4 linked regions of the Arabidopsis thaliana genome follow. The protein of the gene in region 3 interacts with the protein of the main gene of each other region in a pairwise test. Each region holds a gene or a part of one and is shown on either strand. Other genes may lie near its edges. The genes, in order: AT2G41130, YAB3, LHW and AT5G50010.

Evidence for each region.
Region 1: the proteins of LHW (region 3) and AT2G41130 interact in a two-hybrid assay, tested with the Arabidopsis thaliana proteins (one large-scale study listed by BioGRID).
Region 2: the proteins of LHW (region 3) and YAB3 interact in a two-hybrid assay, tested with the Arabidopsis thaliana proteins (one large-scale study listed by BioGRID).
Region 4: the proteins of LHW (region 3) and AT5G50010 interact in a two-hybrid assay, tested with the Arabidopsis thaliana proteins (one large-scale study listed by BioGRID).

What each region holds. Positions count from the first base shown.
Region 1 is NC_003071.7:17,141,162-17,145,833, reverse strand, and holds AT2G41130 (basic helix-loop-helix (bHLH) DNA-binding superfamily protein), read right to left. Parts: upstream 2,678-4,672; 5' UTR 2,475-2,677; coding exon 2,181-2,474; intron 1,616-2,180; coding exon 1,148-1,615; 3' UTR 551-1,147; downstream 1-550. Other genes in the region: AT2G41120 (DUF309 domain protein), read left to right, coding at 3,415-3,804, 3,891-4,038, 4,133-4,380; CAM2 (calmodulin 2), read right to left, coding at 4,642-4,672.
Region 2 is NC_003075.7:71,995-77,525, forward strand, and holds YAB3 (Plant-specific transcription factor YABBY family protein), read right to left. Parts: upstream 3,583-5,531; 5' UTR 3,096-3,582; coding exon 2,982-3,095; exon of another isoform or gene 2,895-2,981; coding exon of another isoform or gene 2,874-2,894; coding exon 2,703-2,873; intron 2,434-2,702; coding exon 2,274-2,433; intron 1,714-2,273; coding exon 1,665-1,713; intron 1,530-1,664; coding exon 1,454-1,529; intron 1,074-1,453; coding exon 996-1,073; intron 885-995; coding exon 810-884; 3' UTR 551-809; downstream 1-550. Other genes in the region: AT4G00170 (Plant VAMP (vesicle-associated membrane protein) family protein), read right to left, coding at 40-91. UniProt on the Arabidopsis thaliana protein: Involved in the abaxial cell fate determination during embryogenesis and organogenesis. Regulates the initiation of embryonic shoot apical meristem (SAM) development.
Region 3 is NC_003071.7:11,648,502-11,654,673, reverse strand, and holds LHW (transcription factor-like protein), read right to left. Parts: upstream 4,316-6,172; 5' UTR 3,945-4,315; intron 3,858-3,944; 5' UTR 3,780-3,857; coding exon 3,685-3,779; intron 3,227-3,684; coding exon 2,947-3,226; intron 2,836-2,946; coding exon 2,776-2,835; intron 2,698-2,775; coding exon 1,672-2,697; intron 1,580-1,671; coding exon 1,478-1,579; intron 1,405-1,477; coding exon 1,291-1,404; intron 1,211-1,290; coding exon 1,085-1,210; intron 984-1,084; coding exon 834-983; 3' UTR 531-833; downstream 1-530. Other genes in the region: AT2G27229 (Pentatricopeptide repeat (PPR) superfamily protein), read right to left, coding at 5,117-5,491. UniProt on the Arabidopsis thaliana protein: Transcription activator that regulates root development; promotes the production of stele cells in roots. Coordinately controls the number of all vascular cell types by regulating the size of the pool of cells from which they arise.
Region 4 is NC_003076.8:20,346,753-20,351,343, reverse strand, and holds AT5G50010 (transcription factor bHLH145), read right to left. Parts: upstream 2,730-4,591; 5' UTR 2,661-2,729; intron 2,512-2,660; 5' UTR 2,114-2,511; intron 2,003-2,113; 5' UTR 1,906-2,002; intron 1,808-1,905; 5' UTR 1,789-1,807; coding exon 853-1,788; 3' UTR 514-852; downstream 1-513. Other genes in the region: AT5G50020 (DHHC-type zinc finger family protein), read right to left, coding at 103-134.

The sequences.
Region 1 (4,672 bases), 5.5 Mb from region 3:
GGTGAGCCATTTTCTATAAACAAAACGGATACCTATTGAAGAAACCAGAATAGAGATACATAGCAAACATAGTATCTCTACAATATTTCAAAACACTTTCATTATAAATATAACAGATATGTACAAACCTCACTAGATACGGATACACATCATTATACATTCTAACATATTCTTCTTATTCACACGAAACTTTAGAGCCAAAATTCGATTAGTAAAATAAACTAAAAGAAAGTAAATTAAAGTAAGTTTTCAGTATTTTTGGTTAATCCTCTCAAGTCTCATCACACTTTCATTGTACATGTAGCCGTACATAATATGAAATTTGGCGTCCTAAATATACAACGTATATAAAGTGTTACTTTTTCGAATATACGTTTAAGCATTTTTGTGTCATGCATAAATGCACGTCTTTTCCATATGATCAACAAAAACAGTAGACTAGACATTTCGCTAACACTTAATTAATCTCAACTAAAAGTAAAACAGTTCGTCATAATCACATGGATATATACGAATATATAAGAAAGAAAGAAAACCAGGCACTGCTTATATTCTTTGGTCTGAAAAATGTGGTCAAATGTACACATTTAGAAAGACATGAACAAAGAAAGAGATAGGAGAGTTTGGATTCATTTGGGGACAAAGGTGACATAAGGGTCGCTTTGAAACTCACAGCATACAAACATAGACCTTCTCTTCACTATATATACATATATATTCACATGTATAGTGTGTATATGTAAATCGAAGTACCCTAGTTTCTTTTGGACTTCACCAATCACATCTGTTACTTAGATTCTTCTACGTCGACAAATATTCCCACAATCTCAAAACCCTAGTCATCACACCAACAACCAAAAAGATATATATAAATAGAGGAAAATAACATGACAAATATTCTTTATATATAATATAGATCTTTTTCTTTTTCTTGAAAAAGAAAAAAAAAAGAAAAGAAAAAGAACACACCAAACCTACTTACAACATTTGCTTACACTCCCAAGACTTAGTAACTAAAACCATATAACATATATATTATTAAAGAGGAATAAAAAAGGTTTTGGTAATTATAACCAAGTTAATTATGATCATACCCTATATATATTAATCAATTATAGACTTTTTAGTGTGCTCAATTCTCATCATTTCACACCATTATGATGTGATCCAGCGCACGACGCCGCTTTGACCGTTCTCCTCCTCCACCACCAGAACTACGTTCCATCAACGACTTGCTTGACCGCTCAAGCAGCGACTTGAGAGCATTTTGCAAAAAATGCACAGACTCGACGCCGTGCATCTCTTTGTCAGCAGCTACGACAAGAACACTTCTTGTCCGACCACCAATGGTTACCATCTCAGCTCGGAGAGTCTTCATGTTAAGAGACTTGAGAATCTCCATAAGGTCCGGCAAGAGATCTGATCTATCTTCACAACATAGAGAGGCTTTGAAGATTATATGACCGTCGTTTGAATAGTCTCCAAAGTGTAGAACACTAATTTCGTCGGTCTCTGATGGTAATAATGTTTGGTCGGAGTCGGAGGTCTCTAGGGTTTGCTGTTTAAGTTCTCTGACTCGTTGAACTACTTTGGCGAGCAGTGTGGCTTTATCGGTCTGAAAATAGAAACATGAAATTACAATGAAAAGTTTGGATCAAGAAGTTGAAATTTGATGTTTGTATCAAATCAAATCAACTGAAAAAGCTTGAGAACTTTCCCAAAAAGTGATATACTATCCCAACGAGCTTCACAAAAAGGCCATGAAGCTTTTCGTTTTTCTCATCTGATCACTACTCGCCAGTTTTGAATATTCAAATCAAAATATATATCAATCTTTAGAATTATAAATGTAGAAAATTAGGGATCATCTTTGATAAATATGTGCTTGTTAATAAGTAAGAATAGTAAGACAAAAAAGACTCAATTGAAACCAAATGATTATAAAATGTTATCATGAAAAAGTACAGTATTCATGAGCTAACACCAAATCGAATGAAACATGAGAAAATTTTAAAGATGTAAACTCTGGGTTAGAGAAGATGCAAAACCCTAATTATATACCCATTTCAAAAATCTTTTCTTAAAATTTCAAAGAAATATATACGTACAGATGTATAAACATCATATGTACGAGGAGAGATACATACGCCAAATGAAAAAGTATCAAAAGTTTATATTACCTTAGAATTACAAGAGAGTACGTTACGAAGCTTGTTGAGATGAGAATTGATCCTCTCTCTCCTTCTTCTCTCAGCTTCTTTGTGGTTCCTCAAAGCAGCTAAAGCTCTGTCTTGAGCCATCGTTTCTCCGATGCCGGAGATCGCCAGTGGGTAATACGATGACGTCGACGACGAAGACCCACATAAGCTCTGCATAGTCGTCATGTAGTCGCCGGAGACGCAGTACCCTCCACCGCCGACTTCGTTTCCGGCAAGAAACGAGTACAACATCTGATCTGAGGTCTCTGGTTGCATTATCTTTTGTTTGCGCCGCCTTCTTTTGGTTTTTTGTTAATTAATGGGGTTTGTGGAGCTTTCGGTGGGTTCTGTCCTAAAAGATGGATTATATATACGTGAAATGAGAGGGTAGAGAGTGTAGATTATTTTTTTTATTTTTTTTATTTTAGATGTTAAATACTTGATTTTTGTATTTATATATATATTGGTGGGGAAAAAGTTGCTATAGAGTTTGAAATTTTTAGGAAGGGTCCTTAATTAGGTCATTGTCTTGCCACCATCATCATTCTAAATAGTTCTATATGATCCATCAATTGAACTGAAGATACATACGGACTTTTGGGACTATATAGTATATTACTGCATTTCCAAAATTCAAAAATTCAAAAACAAATCTCAAAAAATTGAACATTCTTTAAATCTTTACTTATGAATAATAATGATGTTTTACCACTACCATAATAATGATCCTTTAAGTTATTATGATAAGATACCATTTCTAAGGTATTAAAGATAAACAATAAAAGGCATATCCTGATATGATTTATGCTGCTTCTATCATTGTGTTTTGTCCGGATAAATCTCACACAGTGCAATGCGATAACATAAATTTGTTATTTAACAAAAATTAAATAATATACAGTATTTGTTTTAACTTAATGTCTGGAAAAACTTGAGTATTCAAAAGCCCTAATTTTTTTTTTTTGACAACATAAAAGCCCTAAATAATCAACAAATTTGATAATCATAAGAGAAAGCTACTGCAGAAAAATAATTTACGAATGAGACAACCATATGATATGAGGAAGGCTTCGCCATAAAATATGGGCCTAAATTATATAAAAAATAAGGACCCAAATAGTGGCCCAATTACAAAGTTTTGGTAAAACGGTGACCACAAAACTGGCGCAAGCCAGAACCATGCAGTAGAGACAGAGCTCGACCTTTGACTTTGATAATGGCAGTTTCTTCGAAACATTTCCAGGTTCCTTCATCTTTCACGCTTCCTCCATCTTCTTTCTTCAGCTCCTTAATCCCTTCTTCTCCAATCTCTGTTACTGCTTCAACGATTCGAGCCTCCACAAAATTTAGCTCCATACGCGTCCGTTTCAGTCGAAGATCAATCGTCAGATACAACGACCACGCCGGAGAAGACGAAGAGGATAGTGACGAGGATAAGGAAGAATATTGGAGCTTTGAGGAAGCAGTGACTCTCTTCAACAAGAGGGATTATTACAAAAGTCATGACGCGCTTGAAGCTCTTTGGATTCAAGCAGAGGAACCAACTCGTACCTTAATCCATGGAATTCTTCAATGTGCTGTTGGATTTCACCATCTATTCAACAACGTAAATCTACTCTCCTTTTAACTCCATCTATTGCTCGTTTTCGTTCACGTTTGAGGTAATTTTAGTGAGTGTTTTGGGATTTGAAGAACCATAAAGGAGCGATGATGGAGTTAGGAGAAGGAGTATGTAAGCTAAGGAAGATGAATTTCGAAGACGGACCGTTTCATGAATTCGAGCGAGATGTCTCCGCAGTTCTTGAATTCGTTTATCAAACTCAGCTTGAACTTGCTGCCTGTAAGTTTTGAATTTTGAATTTTTGATTGAGGAAACCATTTAGCAAATTGAACCTAATTGTGACACTCAAGAAATCTGAATTGATTGATGATAGGTTCAGAAGATATGTGTTTGACGATGGATCAATCAGACAGATCGTATCAACTCTTAGGTGGTTATGCAGCTGGAGAGAGTATTTACAGCTTAGAGACTGTGCTTGACTTCAACAATGGAATGTCTGAGACAACTTCTATACTCTTCTCTCCTTTACATTCATCGTCTGAGCCAACTCGGGTTAAGCTCCCTACCCTTACCGCAACCGATAAGCATCTTCTTGCTTCTACATACGACGACAGATTCTAAAGAGAATGATCAATACGAAGATAATAGAAGAAGATCTCATTACTGTTATATTTCAAGAATCAGGTTCTGAACCTGTCAATAACATGAACAATGAGTCATTTAGACAAAAGGTAAAAACACATAACATTCCTGTCTTTTTAACCAGCAAAAACCAGCCATGAATGAAATTTTAGAACAAAGCGAAGGAACATTCTTTATGAAATTACATAAGAAGGTAGTCAAAAAAAAAAAAGGAGAAAGCCGAAGAAGTTGTTTCAATCCTCACTTAGCCATCATAACCTTCACAAACTCT
Region 2 (5,531 bases), on a different chromosome or scaffold from region 3:
TCCGAGAGGGATCAAATCAATCGGAAAAAAAAAACTTACAGGGGAATTTAAGCTCAGTAGGATGGATATTAACGAGATCTCCGGTCGTCATGCTTCTTTGTAGATCCTTCGAGATTGAAATTTGATTTCTCTGTTTTTTTTTTAGGGTTTACGACTGTGAGAAGAAGAATGAGAATCGAACAAATTTTGATTTTGGTCAGAGAAGAAGAAAAGTGAATAAATATTTTTTTGAGCCAAGACTGGTAAATTTTGTAGTTTTAAATATTAAATGCCACGTAACTAGATTTGACGATCACCGATTGACCGTGATTTTTTTAATGCGTTAGCGGTTAGCCCAACAAAATCAAGGCTATTGTTCCCTGACTGAAATAAGCCCAACAAAAAGGATCCATTATACTATTGTGGGCCTTCTAAAGCCCAGTGAATTTTTATTGATAATAGGCATTTTTTTTTGTTGAATTCTTTTGAGCTGAATACATATTGATGATTCTTCCCAATATGTTATATACAAATCAAATTCGAATATGGAATTGTAAAGAGAAAAAGACAGTATCATTAACGTATGGTAAAGCCTAGCTAGCTTAGCTACTGCATGCTTTTGATATTAAATATATAACACGGCAACTGAGAAAACAATATATTTTCAATTCCAAGAGAAAATTCTAGTAGTTCCGAAAATTTCTTTAAGAAAAAAAAAAAAGGTCTCCTGATCGATTATCAAATATCATAAAATAGTAATAAGAAAGTTAAGTTTGAGCTGAAAGTAACCACATTTTGAAGATTACAAAAGATTGGGAAAGTCTTCGTAGCTAGTTATGGGCCACCCCAACGTTGGCAGCTGAACCGTAAAACCCTTCTCTTCCCATCATCCCATCCTCTCCTTCCTTCATTACACCAAAATAAAATATCTCGATTATGTTTTGATGATCAATGCATGCATGCTCCTGATTATATACATTTGAATAAATAAATATAGTGTAGTAGTAGTAAGTAACCTGTTGGCGCACGTTAGCCTTCTTCGTGGGAGGATGGTCAGCCATGAGTCCAAAGTGTATGTGAGGGAAATGAGCCCACTGTTTCATACATATTACATCATATACTTAGCTCTTTTAACATTAATGTGTATTTATCTTATACATAACATAAAAACTTGGTCAAAAATATACGAATACAAAGCCAGACTAAAATATCTGCTAGGGAACTTTACTGAAACCCTAGATCGTAGATCCTAAGGCTAGTCCTAGCTAATGTATGCTGGATAAAGCTTATGAATTATGGATTATTACGGTAACTATTTTGTTTTATGTTTTTAATTTAAAGCAATGTGAGTATCAATGTAGCTCCACAATAATCTAGCTAGGTTCAATTCATAAAGACTAAAATGAGATTGTATGATTATGGATATAATGCAATATAGAAAATTAGTTTTATATATTAAAAAAAGAAATGGTACGTTTTTGGCAGCAGCACTGAAGGCTTCTCTGTGGCTGATATCAGGGTTGCCTGCCTTTATACGTTGGATCTCCTCTCTGTCAACATTTTTATTTTTATATCATATAATGAAATCAAATCTGTCACATCTATCGACCCTTAATTATATGAGTAAAATGGTTAATTAGGGAAATTTAATTATGCCATTTTAAGCAAAGGAATAAACTTATTACTTGATGAATCGGTTGTATGCAGATGGTACTCTTTGTCGCTTCTCTGGGGCTGCTTTTCCACAAACAAACAAACAGAACATATTCAATTTTAATTCCAAATCAAACCCTTTTGTTAAAAAAAACATTATTGGTTTTTATTGTGCCTCCCCAAAAAATCTAAAAATTCACCAAAAAAAAACAATTAAAAAAAAAAAAACAATCACTCTTCGACTCTTCCTCCTTTCTCTCTCTCCCTCTCCCTCTCACTTTGCTCGTTATCATCATCACTTCATCATTATCTTTCTTACGATCTACCCCCAAAACTATATCAGTTGGCATCTATAGGTTTAGCTAGATTTCCGGGGGATAAACACATCACTTATTAATTTTCCTTTTGTTGTCGAAATTGTTTTCTGACCAAAAAAAAAGTGCATGCGAGAAGTCACATACCGAGGGAACAAAAATGAAATCAAAACTTATAAATTCATTATAAACAAACGAGATTCTTTGGAGTGTATATATAAAAGGTTGAAGAAATGAATGGATAAGGTTTTGTGAATTAGGGTTTTTGTTTTCTTATATATATATATATGAAGATGTTGAAATAAAGAGTAGAAGATGGAAGGTTACGTCTATTGGCTGGTGGTGGCCGAGGCATCTCTTGTAGATGATCCACTGATCTTCCGTTGCGAGTCGCCATAACCAAATGCTCGTTCGGGTGGTGAGCTGAAGCGTGATGGCTCATCATCATGTTCATGTTTATATTCTGCCCTCCGCTTCGCATTTCCTCCTAATAAATGAAATCAGCAAACTAATTGGCAAAAAAAACTTAAAACACTAATCAAACCAAACTACTTTGATATGATGTTTTCGAAAGAAACCCTAGTTAACTAGCCATTGCCAAACTACTTAGATCTATCCCGGGATGCTAACAAAATTAAACATTTTTGGATTGAGTTTCACAATTTTGCGTTTCTCGAGAAGAAAAGCCCTAATTATTACTCTCTGTTTTTTTTATGAAAGAACCCTAATTTGTTTCGATGAATGAAACCGATGTACCAAAAGATTTGGAGGAGGAGGAGGAGGAGGGGGAGGTAAAAAGGAATGGCCAAGGTTGGAAACGGATGGAAGAAGAAGAGCTCTCATGCTCACGGTCACCGACAAAAGGTTCGAACAGTGGCCGCATCTGACCGTCACCGTCTTGAACAAACTACTCGGAGGAACACTCACCTGCCAATTAATATCACACATTAATTAACTAGTAATTCATGTGAAACCCTAGCTAGAGTTATAAATTTGAAATATTGAGATGAGATATAAGAATAATCCAAAATTTACAGCAAGGACAGTGTCGCAGAAGCTGCAATGGACGTAACAGAGCTGGTCCGTAGATGAGAAGTGGTCCGGTGGAAAAGCTGGAGCTGAGGAGGACGACATGGACATGCTCGACATGGAGTCTTTTTCTTGATTTAAAACAAAAAAGGAGTAAGAGAGAGAGGAGGGCTTTGATTTGATTGAAAAGATATGACTGATCGATGTTCAGATAGAAGTAGATTCTCCTTCCACCACACCCTTTTGACAATTGTGTTTAGTGTTGGGTGATGAGCAGTACTTTATAAATGTCTTGTACTTCTCCAGAAGTTGAAGTCCAGAGAGAGAAGGAAGAGAAAGAACGGTGGAGAGGAAGATGTGGTTTAGAGAGAGAGAGAGAGAGAGATATCTATTTATGTAAATATGAAGAGACACTGTACCTAAACAAATTGGCGACATGTGATGAAGAGGCCATTGTAGAGATAAGCTGCATACCTGCATTCTCATTTACTACCTTTTGAACCGGTTTATCTTCTTTATTATTCCTATCCATCCTTTTTCTTTCTTCTATATATCAAACCGGAACTAGTCTTTGTTTCTATATAATCAGATAAAAACTCTACTTTGGGACTAATTATCATTATCAAGTACCATTGAATTAGTAGCCGATCGGTGAGGAATAATAGATATAAAGATTTCAAAGTTTTATAACGACAAGATTTGTGCAGCATCAAACATGTACATACGACAAACATGCTAACTTTTTTTTTTTTTTACCAACTATTTAAACCGCTTATATATTTGCGGAAAAAACAAAACTTCAATTTGGCTAATAAGTGTCGTACGTGACACATGTATAGAAGATTAACCATATCTATAGGGTTTAATTAGGAGTTTATTTGAATGTCGAACATCCAAAAATTAAGATAATATTAATTCACATGTTAAAGTTGGAATTGTTAAGGTTTTCTATTTTGGTTATGCATTTTGTTACATGGTTTGTGACCTTGTGTCGTCGCAATGATGATAATGCAACAGTGGAAAAAAATTTGATGATAATTGATAATGCAATAACAGAAAATATATTGGAATTGTTAAGGTTTTCTATTTTGGTTAAGCATTTTGTTACATGGTTTGTGACTTTGTGTCGTCGCACTAATGATAATACAATAACAAAAAAAATATCAACTAAAAGCATGAAAATAAAGAGGGAACAATATGAAAATATACTTATGCATGAGATAAAGAGAGAACAATATGAAAATAAGGTTGGTGTTGTTTTCATAGACCTAAAAGCAGCAGAACTTGAACTTGAATGTGTGTTGTGGTGGATCTCCAGAAAGTCCTTGGCATATTACACCCATATTTAGAGTTAAAAGTGGTCATATAGCTAGATATTTTGTTTCTATATGCACATATACACTCGCAGTGAATCCAACTCTTCAGCGTATTGAGGTCATTGTACAAGTCTTCTCCGCAAAATAAGAAGAAGAAGATAATGTAAAATAAACGAAGTTAAATCTAATCTGGTTACGGTTTGAATTCAATTGGATGAAAAATGTTTTGTTTTTTCTTTTCTTTAAAGGACGCAAAGTTCGATGAAGTGGGAGAGAGAGGAAGAGGAAAGGGACTTGTGCATGGAAGTGATTAAGCAAAGGCTCATTCATCAGTTGTTTTCACACTTAATAACATTTCTGCCACACCACACTTTCCCTCGATCCTCGTCAATTCCATGCCCTTTTCTATTTATTAGTATTTGTATATACTTTCTCTACATTCCAATGTATATCATTTTGTCATCATTATTTTTACCCGCAAGTGTGTGGTTTCGCTAAATTCCATAATACAGGACCACCATTTTGTGGTAACTTCCCAATTGTTCGTGATAATTACTAGGTCATAGTGAAATTTAAATTTATTTATATCTGAAATTAGTTTAAGTTTTTGTAAATATTATGGCTATCCGGTTTCACAATATATAGTGTAGACATAGAATATGATTTTTGTAAGTCAAAATCCTATCACAATAGAACTTCAAGCAAATATAGTATAGTTGTTTGCAACTTTAGTATTTGTATTGAGTTTATTAGAGTGTGGGCTTCCAACATAAAACCAATTGGCAATAGATGGAAAGGCTCATATCTTATATATATCACTTAAGATCCTACTCAACTTTCGATGTGGGACATTGTCCCTAATACGCCCCCTCGAGATGATGGTTCTTCTAGCCATTGATCTCGATATGTTTGGGCATGGATCGGCGGGCCAAGTATTGGGCCGGACCGATGTGGATCGGGTTGAGTATGTGCGGATCAGGCTCTGATACCATATTAGAGTGTGGGTTTCCAACCTAAAACCAATTGGCAATAGGTGAAGAGGCCCATATCTTATATATACCACTTAAGATCTTATTCAACTTCCGATGTGGGATATTATCCCTAATACGCCCCCTCGAGATGATGGTTCTTCTAGCCATTGATCTCGATATGTTTGGGCATGGATCGGCGGGCCAAGTATTGGGCCGGACCGATGTGGATCGGGTTGAGTATGTGCGGATCGGGGTCTGATACCATATCA
Region 3 (6,172 bases):
CATAATGTGCTGTCGATTATCCCATCATAATCTATAGAGTGGAGAGATGGCTAAAGCAAGACACAAAGATGTTCATGCACCTTTTGCAGCAAAGTTTAGGTACCTCAAAAGTGTAAATAAAGCATTTTTGAGACAACAAACAAAAACGCAGTTTTGAGAATTTGATGTTGGACTAAGTTTGATCCACTAATTAGTAGTATGAAGAAAATGTAAATATTAGGAATGGATTAAGACATCCATTAGAGATTATGAATTCACATGATAGCACATTATAAGGCTGTTAACAAAAGTATTATAACTAACTATTATTAGCTTTTCTTCTATAGGCCTCACGTTTCTTAATAAAGAGTGTGTTTTATTGAAAGTAGAGCTTCTTGTGTTTTTTTTTTTAATAATAAGCTAATTATATACATAGAGTTACTAATCAAAGTAACATAAAGGTACTTGTAACATGTGAAGCTTTGTTGTGTACTGTTAAAGCTGTTGATGGACCGGTTCTTTTTACCGGTCTTGAAATCCGTGAATTGTTTGAACTCTTACTGGTCGAGAATAATTTTAAACAATTTAACTAAATTTTTTACAACTCCAAAACTGAATTAAAATTAAAAAATTCCACACAAATGAAAATTCGCAACTAATGTACAAAACATAAAGTTGAGAAAAAAAAACACACTTAAAAATCATCATCTCTGGTTTAGACTGACTTTTTAGTTAGTCATAGCGAGCCTAAAATCCTTGAGAGCGGTCCGCTCGTAACCTCTATATGAATCAAGCTTTTAACCAGCCCGGTTTATTAAACCGGAGCAATCCGGTACGGTCAATAATTTGTGTCATTACATTGAACAGCCACCAGTAACCGGTAAAGGCATTGTAGCTTTGATACCATCCAAAATAGTCTTAGAGTTTCCTCCACATTTCATTGTCTGCTCCAAAATATTCACTAGTTGCATGAATATTTCCATCCTCGTCACGTCGCGACTCGCCTACAATCCAATATCGACCCGGTTTCAGTTTAAATAAGATACATTCTAACACAATCTCATCTTTCCAAGTTAAACAACCTTGTGTAACTTATATAATATACCTCAACAGTGAAGCGAGCCCAAATCTTGTCTACTCGAGTTTCGATGACTCCCTTCAAGATCGTTAACCCTAAGCTTCTGATCCAATCTGCGATTTCTAGAAAGAATCCTCGTTGCTCGCATAACATCTGTTACAAAACCAGAAAACGTTCGATCAAAACCGAGATCTTGAGTGTTTTTTATTAAGAACCTTAGGCAGAAATGTTACCTCGACTTGGAAAATGCGAGGCGGGTTTATATCTTCTACGACAATTGGACACACCATAGACTTTGACCCTACTTCGAAAGCCCATGTTGCTCCTCCACCGTCCTCTTTCATAATCTTATAACAATACAACAAACGTTAGATCAAGAATCCATGAGAGACACCAAAATATTATTGTTTTATGTTATACCTTGGATTCCCCGGTTTGCTTCAGCTTATCAGAATGCTTGGAGACATTTTGCAAGAAGAGCATGTGCTTGATTGTACGTTCAAGGAGTGCATCAATGCTACACTGTTAAATAAAAACCACATGTACTCTTTGTTAGTAATAACCTTTCTTAGGGATTGTTTAATTTGCCAAGAACAGATAAGTTTTTCACTTACTTTTGCACCGTTTGGTATTATTTCACGCAGCTCTTTGACACGATCTTGGATCATTTGGCGATCTTTAGGCCTTGGTCTTGGGTTCTCTCCTGGTTTAAGCCTTTTCCGGTTATTAGCCGGTTTTGCAGTTTCATTCTTGTTCACCATCCTTGGACTGCCCTCACGCTTCAAGCTGTGCGCTTGTTCAACCCAAGAACTTATCTGAGACCCGTAGACCGATGATGGCCCCAATGGTTGCCCATGTTTCTTCTCAAATAACTGGCTACCTTGAGGGCTACTGTGAGACGGCGTGGTAACCGAAGAATTACTAACTTTAGTCAAGGTGGTTTTGCAGGACTCGGAAGTTTCGTCTGAGATCTGCTTTGTGGAGGAGCAAGCACCCGAGACCACGGCATCTAACAGATGATCTGTTCCTGAAAGTTCATACCCCGAAGAACCGAACTCAGGGTCCATTTCTTGAATGATCCGAAAGTCGGATAACTCTCTAGTGAGTACTTCTGTTCTCATCTGTGAAACTCCCCAACTGTTGTCACAACCTTTGTTCTTATCATCCAAACCCAACATATCAAACAAGTCGTCGCTTCCAAGCGAGCGTTTCGAACTGATGTCTTCACATGGGATTTGTTGCTGCTCTGCTGCATCCACATTAGACATACAAGAGAAGTTTTGATTCAGCCACGCATCTGGATTTGAAGGTACTGCAACTTCTCCAGCTGTTAGAAATCCTGTTGTGCTTTGCCATCCTCCTTCATGTTCATCCACAAGATTACAGGGAGATTCTTCAACCATTTGATGATCTGATGATCCAGTGGAGTTGAAATGTTGTTTGCTAGTTTCAGCTACGAAAGCCGAAGATTGGAGGATCTTATGTCCTTGAGAAGGTATTATCCGAGACACTGGCACTCCAATAAAATCAGCAGCAGGTTCATATGTTCTGTAGTTTTCAGATAAGAGAGCCCCCGGAACACATCCGAGCTGCAGGATAAGACCCTTCACGTCATTCACAAACCCCAAGTTCTCCATAATCTGAACACACAAAAAACAATTCACAGTTAAATCAAGAACAAGAATCTCACTTCACATAACAATGTAACTTGAACTTACAGGCAGAGAGGAACCGAGCTGAACAACACCGTGAGGAACAACCGGAAAAACTGCAACAGTCTGAAGAACAAACAAAATAAGCACACACAAACAGTTCTTATGAGCTTGAACATATATATACACTAAAGAAGCCTAACTTAGGATGTTCAAAACATGAAGAAAGTATCAAACCTGAATACCAGCAGAGAATTGGAGAAGCATCTCATTAATAACCTCGGGTGGATGAACATCGCGGTTAAAACTGTTAGCTAGAATCCATTGATGATGTCCAGTAAATGCAGCTCGGCCAACTAGACCTTCACCTACCAAAATGATTCGATTGTTCAACATCATTCGGTTTGTAAGCAACTGAACTTTCTCATTCCCTTGTGTATCAACACCAAGTCCACAAAGTCTTCTAGGATTCGAGCTCGATTCGGTTTCATTGTAACATTCCTCCCAAATCAACAAGCTGCACAAAAACAAGTAAAAAAAACACATCAAAAAAAAAAAATTAGAATACACATGACAAAAATATGCAACAATCGTTTAAGTTAGAATACCACAAAAAGACGATTACAAAAGATTTTGGGCTAAACAAAGACAAAACGAACAAAGACAAGAAATAAAAATTGAAATGACAAGAGAGTTAAAGAACTTGAACTCTTTAGACAATTCATAAACAAATAATAAGGATATAGTTATTGTCGACAAAACAACTACAAATCGAAAGATTCTTTAAGACAAACAAGATCAAACCAAACACAAAACTCCAAGAATTAAACAGAGATAAATAATTCTAGTCATCCTCGAGATCTGAGTTTTAAACCCTTATCAAAAAATTCTCAAACTTTAAACTAACAAACACTGAATATATTTGACTGAATAAAGTTTGACACTTTATTAGAATTAGGAGAATAAGAGTGGTACCTAGAATTTTGACAGCCAATTTTCCAGAAAACAGCATAAGACCATTGATTATTAACACACATAGACCTTAAAGCTTCTCTTAGTAAAACTCCCATAGCTTTTCTCTTTCTCTTCTCTCTTCTTTAAGCTCCAACAAGAACAAACTTTTTCACTTGCAACAGTGCAATTTCAAACTGCCCAGAAGAAAAAAATCGAAACTTTAGGTCTAAAAACAAAACTTTTTAACAAATCTACAACAATCAATAAAAACCCATTATTACATTCTTTAAGAGGAAAATGGATTTGAACAAAGACTAACTTCCACGGCAAGATCCTCTTCCAGCTTGTTTTGTCCTAAGTCCTCCACTTTGTTTTCTTTCAGGATCTAAACTAAAAGCGATCATACTCCGACATGCCATTACTTCCGGTAATAAGGAAGAGAAAAAAAAACTCAAAACCCCAGAAAAGAAAAATACAAGAAACTAGTTAATCTTCTTCACAAGATGCTCCAAGCTTCAAGCTTTAAGATTCCAGTAACACCAGCCATTGATAAAACTTGAAGAAAATTAGAAGAAGATGGAGAAGAAAGCAAATGGAGATTATTTGTCTTTGTTTTTTCTCTGCTTTAATGTTTCTTTTCTCTGCTTCTTGGTGAAAAAAAGATTGAAAAATGAGGAAAAAGTACCATCTTATTAAAAACAAAGAACACGATGAATTCGAGAAAGGGTATCAATGTTTAGTAGAAATTACAGGATTGTGCCACTGAGTGGGGTAGTCGAAGTCTTTTGTCTTTTTCCGATGGTGCTAGACGAATAATTTATTGTTTTTTTCGTGAGGTAATATCCTAAAAGTTTGTTTTTAGATAAAAACAAAAGAGATAAAGAAAAAAAGTGTACCCTCGGAGATAAATTAAAAGACGTTCCTAAATATAATTATTAAAAATATATATGTATATATATATATTAAAATATTTAATAACGGCATAAGTCTAGAAGTTAGAGGATTTGTAGGATTATGGATTGTCAATAAATAAAAGAGATTTTCATTTTCTGGTATTGCTTCCCGTACACACAAATAATAAATACACATAAGTTCAAGGTGTTTAATATTGAGCTTATATTTAAAATAGGCATTTTAAATAAAGTTATTTCAAAATAGGTATTTTCCACAGTTGAATACAACAGTGTCGATTTATTGCTTCAATCGGGACAATTTTGTCCCTGTCTTTTTTTCCTTCTCTTCTTCTTCATCGTCTTCTTTCTTCTTCTTCTTTATCGAACATAGTTGCAAAATCTGATTAAATCGATTTCTTCTTTGTTTTTCAAGCAAACTTAATTTTTCTTTTTAATTACACAATACTAAACCCTAAGATAATATATAGGGAACCCAATCGAAAAAATTTATAGATTTTATGGAACTTTAGTTCTGATTTTGTGGAATTTCGGTTCTGATTTTAGAGAATTTCAGTTCTGTCCACATGACTACGATAGGCTGTGTCCATGGCGGAAATAAAGAAGCTTTCTTTGTTGCGACTTAACCTTCGTAAGCAAAGTTGGAATCTTTTCCCACCCAGAGTCTTCCTATACCAAGAATAAATCGGTTCACAAATAACAATGAGTTGAAACCGGTTTTTGAATATCGTCTCACCTGTCTTTTTCAAATTACCAGTAATCACCACAAGTCCATTCTTGAAATGATGAAACCGGTTTAAATCCCTCACAATGATCTCTCTCTCAGTGATTTTCCATATAAAAACTTGGATTCTTGAAAATCCGAGTTGTTGTCTTTGCAGGAGTGGCGATTTAGAAGATGATGCATATATCGCCATTGTTTCAATTGAATATAGGGAACACACACGATTTATTGCTTCAATTGGTGATGCAAATATCGAATATAGGAAACAGACACGACTTATTGCTTCAATTGGGTAAAAGATAATGCAAATGAGAGGAGGATAAGGATGACTTTTCACAAGAGAAAAGTACCTCTTTCGAAAATCATGTAAGGAAATACCTTAAAATAAATATATAACCAAGACAAATGCCTATTTTCTAATAAACTCTTTAATATTTAGATTATTTTATTATTTATCATGTTAAATTAAATTCTGAAAAACTCATTAACACTTTAATTTAACATCAAGCAATTCGTAATTACTAATTTAAAGATTTAACTTAGTTATATACTGATATTTTAGTGGGTGCAAAAAGGTCCAAACCATATTATTTTTTAATAGATTATTAACTACTTTTACTATGTACTAAGTTTTTTTTTCCCCATAAAAACGATCTATAATTACTATGATATTTTTAACAGAAAAACTATGAACATTATACTGAATCACTAAAAGAACATCGTAATACTTTGACCACAATAAAATAAAATAAAGATATAATTTGAGCATTGGGAGGTTTTTAGAAGGCACCACACCGAATGATTTCAAGTAATCTTGACAGTTTTTTTAAATGTAACTGCCAGTATGTTACAAAAGGATAATGAAAGTTCTGCG
Region 4 (4,591 bases), on a different chromosome or scaffold from region 3:
TCGTTTCTGGATTGTGTCTCCCGAGACGAACATTACAGTTTTGTTCCTTCATTTTTTTATTACGCATATAAAATTATTTTTGTAATGTTTTAAAAACCGGACCGGTCCGGTCCTGCAGACCAAGAATCGTTCATGTGGCTGAAATTGGGATGAACCGGTATCTGGTCCGGTTTCTAAAACATTTAGCTGCAAGATTTATTCTGAATGGCTAGAGACATGTATTCAAAACTTATAAACTGGATGGGACTACAGTATATCACATGTCACTAGTTCTATGCACAAAAGTCAGGAAATGACAAGTGATAAGAGTCTTAATCATGAAACAATAGGCAAAAATTGCTACCATATTGACAAAAGACTGCCAAATATCCCACCAAATCACATGTCTGTTTGGCACGAAAACAAACATCTTTAATCATTTGTAAAAAAGTTAAATTAATTGTGTGTTTACCATTATAATTGGCCTATCATTGAAAATGGTTATTCAACTTTCCCATTTATGATTCTCTCGGCCACACGACTCACAGATGAACAATAACAACCACACCGACAAAATCTTATAGAAAAAGAAGAAGCAACTACATGATATAACAAACAGCTAAACGACTGAAATTAAAATTTCGCAATCCATCTTAATCATCAACTAATATGAAATATTCAATTTGCATTTTAATATCAATTCCTTCTCTTGCAACTCCGAAACATTATTTGGTTTATCTTCCAACTAGCAACAACCTGATCCCTTTGTAGCTTGACAAGAGTACCACGGTCCAATATGTCTACTACTTTGTTTAGAAACCAAGTCCACTTGCCAATGCTAATATGTCTTAGGTATCCTACAAACAAAGAACCTCATGCTTCTCGATTTTTCGCTTCCATCTTCAATGATTTAAGGTAATCAATGGCTCTATCGATGACTAAGATCGGGTCCACCAGTTCCTCCCCGGGGACTACACTGCGCAAGAGGCTTACAGTCTCAAATATCTTCTCTTCTCCTATCTTGTTACTAGACAGCTTAGAACGTTTCAGAAAACTAATCCTTGTGTTGTCACAACTACCACAGCTCGATTCAGCGTCCCGCATACTCTCATTCGAGGTTTCGAGTATCTTTCTCTTTTTAGCATTTAATGGTTGTCCATAGCTTCCAAGAAATGTTTTTTGGTCCTCACGGCCTGATACTACAATGCTTGGGGAATGGTCTGCGCTTGTAACCTCATCTTCTTCAGAGCAATAACCACTCTCATCTTCAGAGTAAAGCAATGCATTTAGTTCTTCCGAATCCTCCTTCAAATCCGGTTCGCTATTTCCTTGCATTCCGTGACAAACAAACAAATCTTTGTTGCTTCTTTGGAGCTCTTCCTTCATATCAGGACAGGCATGCTGTTTTAGGGTCTCAAAAGATTTCCGTATATCGGAAGCGAGTAGCAAAGTCGTCTGATCTCCAGACTGATCAAACACTAGGAACCTCTTCTGACTACATTGTTCCTCAGCTTTAGATATAACACCGTCTACTTGAAGAGGTACTTGCTTCATACATTGGTTTTGAGGAGGCAAGAACTGCTGCTGTAGGTGGGATGACCCATGAACCCATCCACAATACCCATCAAAATAGGATTGAGAGACTTGGGTAGAAACTTGATAAGATCCACGAGTAGAAAACATGTCGGTGGTGTCGCCGCAGGTTTTAGATACTAAATTCAAGTCTTGCTTCCCGAGATGAGACAGAGCTAGGGAAGACAAGGAACACAAGCGCTGAGTAGGAAACCCAAACCCACGATCTTGTCCCATCCAACACTAAACAAATCAACTATCCAAAACAGAGGACATCATCATCTCAAACAAATCAGCTACTTATAATCAAGAATGGGAGGTCAAAAGATTATGTGTGCAAAGACTGGAACTTACCAACTAAATGGATAGAAGAAACTAGGCTTGAAACAAGAACGATAAGTATCGAGCTACTCTACGTGACGGGCTTCAACAATTGACGGAAATATTCAGCCTGCAAAATACACAACATCAAAGCTAAAACGAAATCAATAAAAAAAAGTTCTGGTGGTTTAAAAATCTAAATATATTGCAATAACATAAACTCATCAAACAAGAAAATAACCTGGCAATCTTGGAGAGGTTGAAAGCATGCAATGACTCTAACTACAATGTTTCCTGTGATACCGTGTTCGTGTTTGAGTGTACGAAATCTTGTCTGTCCCGCTGATTGACAAACCATAACTACTTTCTCCCCAACTGATTCCTTCTCCCAAAACAGAGTATCCAAACGAAGTCTTAAATAATTTGGCGGACAAAGTAAGGGAATGTGAAGAAAAAAGACGACCCCATTACATAAAAAAGCTATGTCTGAAGTAAGATCGCAGTTTACAGAATCACACGACAGAAGACTACTACTGTACGAAAAACATAAGCAGAAAGACACAACCACCACCGCATGCTGTTGCTTTGTTGCTCTTTCTTGTTTTATCTCTGGAGTCAATCTCACTACTTCAAATGAATCTGCAAAATAAACGAGAGCAATAGATTTAGTGCTAGCAAGAAACAGAACACTTTAAAACAAATAACTTAACCTAGAAAAATATGCACAATGCATATTATTACAGAGTTTATAAGTTCTATCTCGAAAACTGAAGATAATAGAAACTCACAAAAGTGGAATGCAAGAGAAGCAAATAGAAGTTCTAAGGAGGAAGCAGAGAGATATTAGTTTCAGTGATGGCGAAGAGAAGTTAGCGAGGAAGAAGATATATACAAGAGAAAAAGACGAAAGTGACCTTCATCATAACAGAGATGCGTGCGTGCGTTAAAGTTTAGGTATCGTGATGCCACAGTGTTTACCAAATCCGATAACAAATGTTTTTGGGAAAATTAGCTGAATTTGGTGGGTTCAAAATCTAAATAGTTGTTTATTTTTCTCGATGTAATTACTAATTAGTAAGATATACTCATAATCCATATTGTTGTTAACATGCTTTTTCGGCTTATTTATATTTGGCTAAAAGATATACATTTGCCCATTTGGTGGAAAAATAAATTATGCCAAATAGCTTGTTTTGGTTGGAAAGAAGAATCAGTCGACTTTCACTTTTCATCACATGTAAACAAATTCAGCTAACGGAATCTAGTATCTTTCAATTCCACCGAAACACAAATATCATTCACATAATATAAAAATGATCATCAATGAAGCTATACAAAAAAAAAAATCCATTTGAAGCCAAAGTATACTTACTTCATGCAATCATGTTTTATAAGACGCTCGCTTATGTATTTTGTTGGTTTCGTACTTTCGTTCATCGTCAGTAAGAAAAGTAGTGAAAGTATCCAATGTGAAGAAGAAGAAGGTCCAATCATTTCTCAAATACTCTCGTTTGCAATGGCTTGACCGTTCAAACCCCAAATCATTTCTACTTTTACTTTTTACCTTTTTGCACCCTCCATTTCCATCTTCTTTGGGTTTCACATTATGTTTTGTCTTCCCATTCTGGTTGGTCTATTTTCATATGGATCTCCAAAACACTTTCGTGGAAAATGTATCTATTGCACTTATAGTGAAAAAACGATGAAATATGTGACGATAAATATAACAAGAAGAAAGGAAAATCCTACAAGACAATTGATTGCTCTTCATCTTTTCTTTATTATAATCTCTTCCAAAATATGTATATTTTTCTATATATACTAAAGTGTTAAGAAAAAAAAACAAGCTTCATTATCATTATAAGACTTCCGTTTTCACTATAGAAGTAGGAACGGTACAAGTCATACTCACTGACTTATAAAAATACAAACAAATAATGATAACATAAGAACATTATTATTGAGATCATAATTTATGACCAATCCACAATAATTTATATTATGAAAATATAAATTCAATATTAGATACTGTAAGATAAGTTTCGAAGGACAAAAAAGGAGATAATTTCTATACAGAAACCCAAATGAACAACCTGCATCACCAAAAATTACCAAGTTAGCCAAAAAAAGTTTTTTTAGCTAGTTAGCCAATGACTTAATCGTATATTATCAATCATAAAACTTGATACCAAAATTATCTAAACCTAATTAATCCCCCAGAAGAAACAGACACGTTCTCTCTTGTCAGAAAATGGCACTGACTAGTAATAATTATACCCAAGATATTTTTCATTGACAATCAAAGACATCTGAAACTATATTCAATAGTGATAGATGTAGAAGACCCATGATTTAGTAACCTGAACCAAATCTTTGATGTACAGATAAGAGAGATCTGGTTGCTCACAATCATACAAGCAGAGTAACATTTAATATTACCACGCCAAATATTTAAGTTATACAAAAACCATTAGGATAATATTACTAATCCGTATAGTATATAAATTAGGATTAATTAAAAGTGGATACACTTAATCCTTACTGGCTTTAATGGTGTCAGGGGCCCAAAACAAACCCTCCACCGTTTCTCTCTTTCTGTGTGTCTCTAAAGCAATCATCATATCCTAGGTCCACCATTTTTATACACATAAAATAACACTCTTCTCATTTTGCGTGGTTAAAAAAAATACACATATATGAGATGTTTTTTTTTGATAAA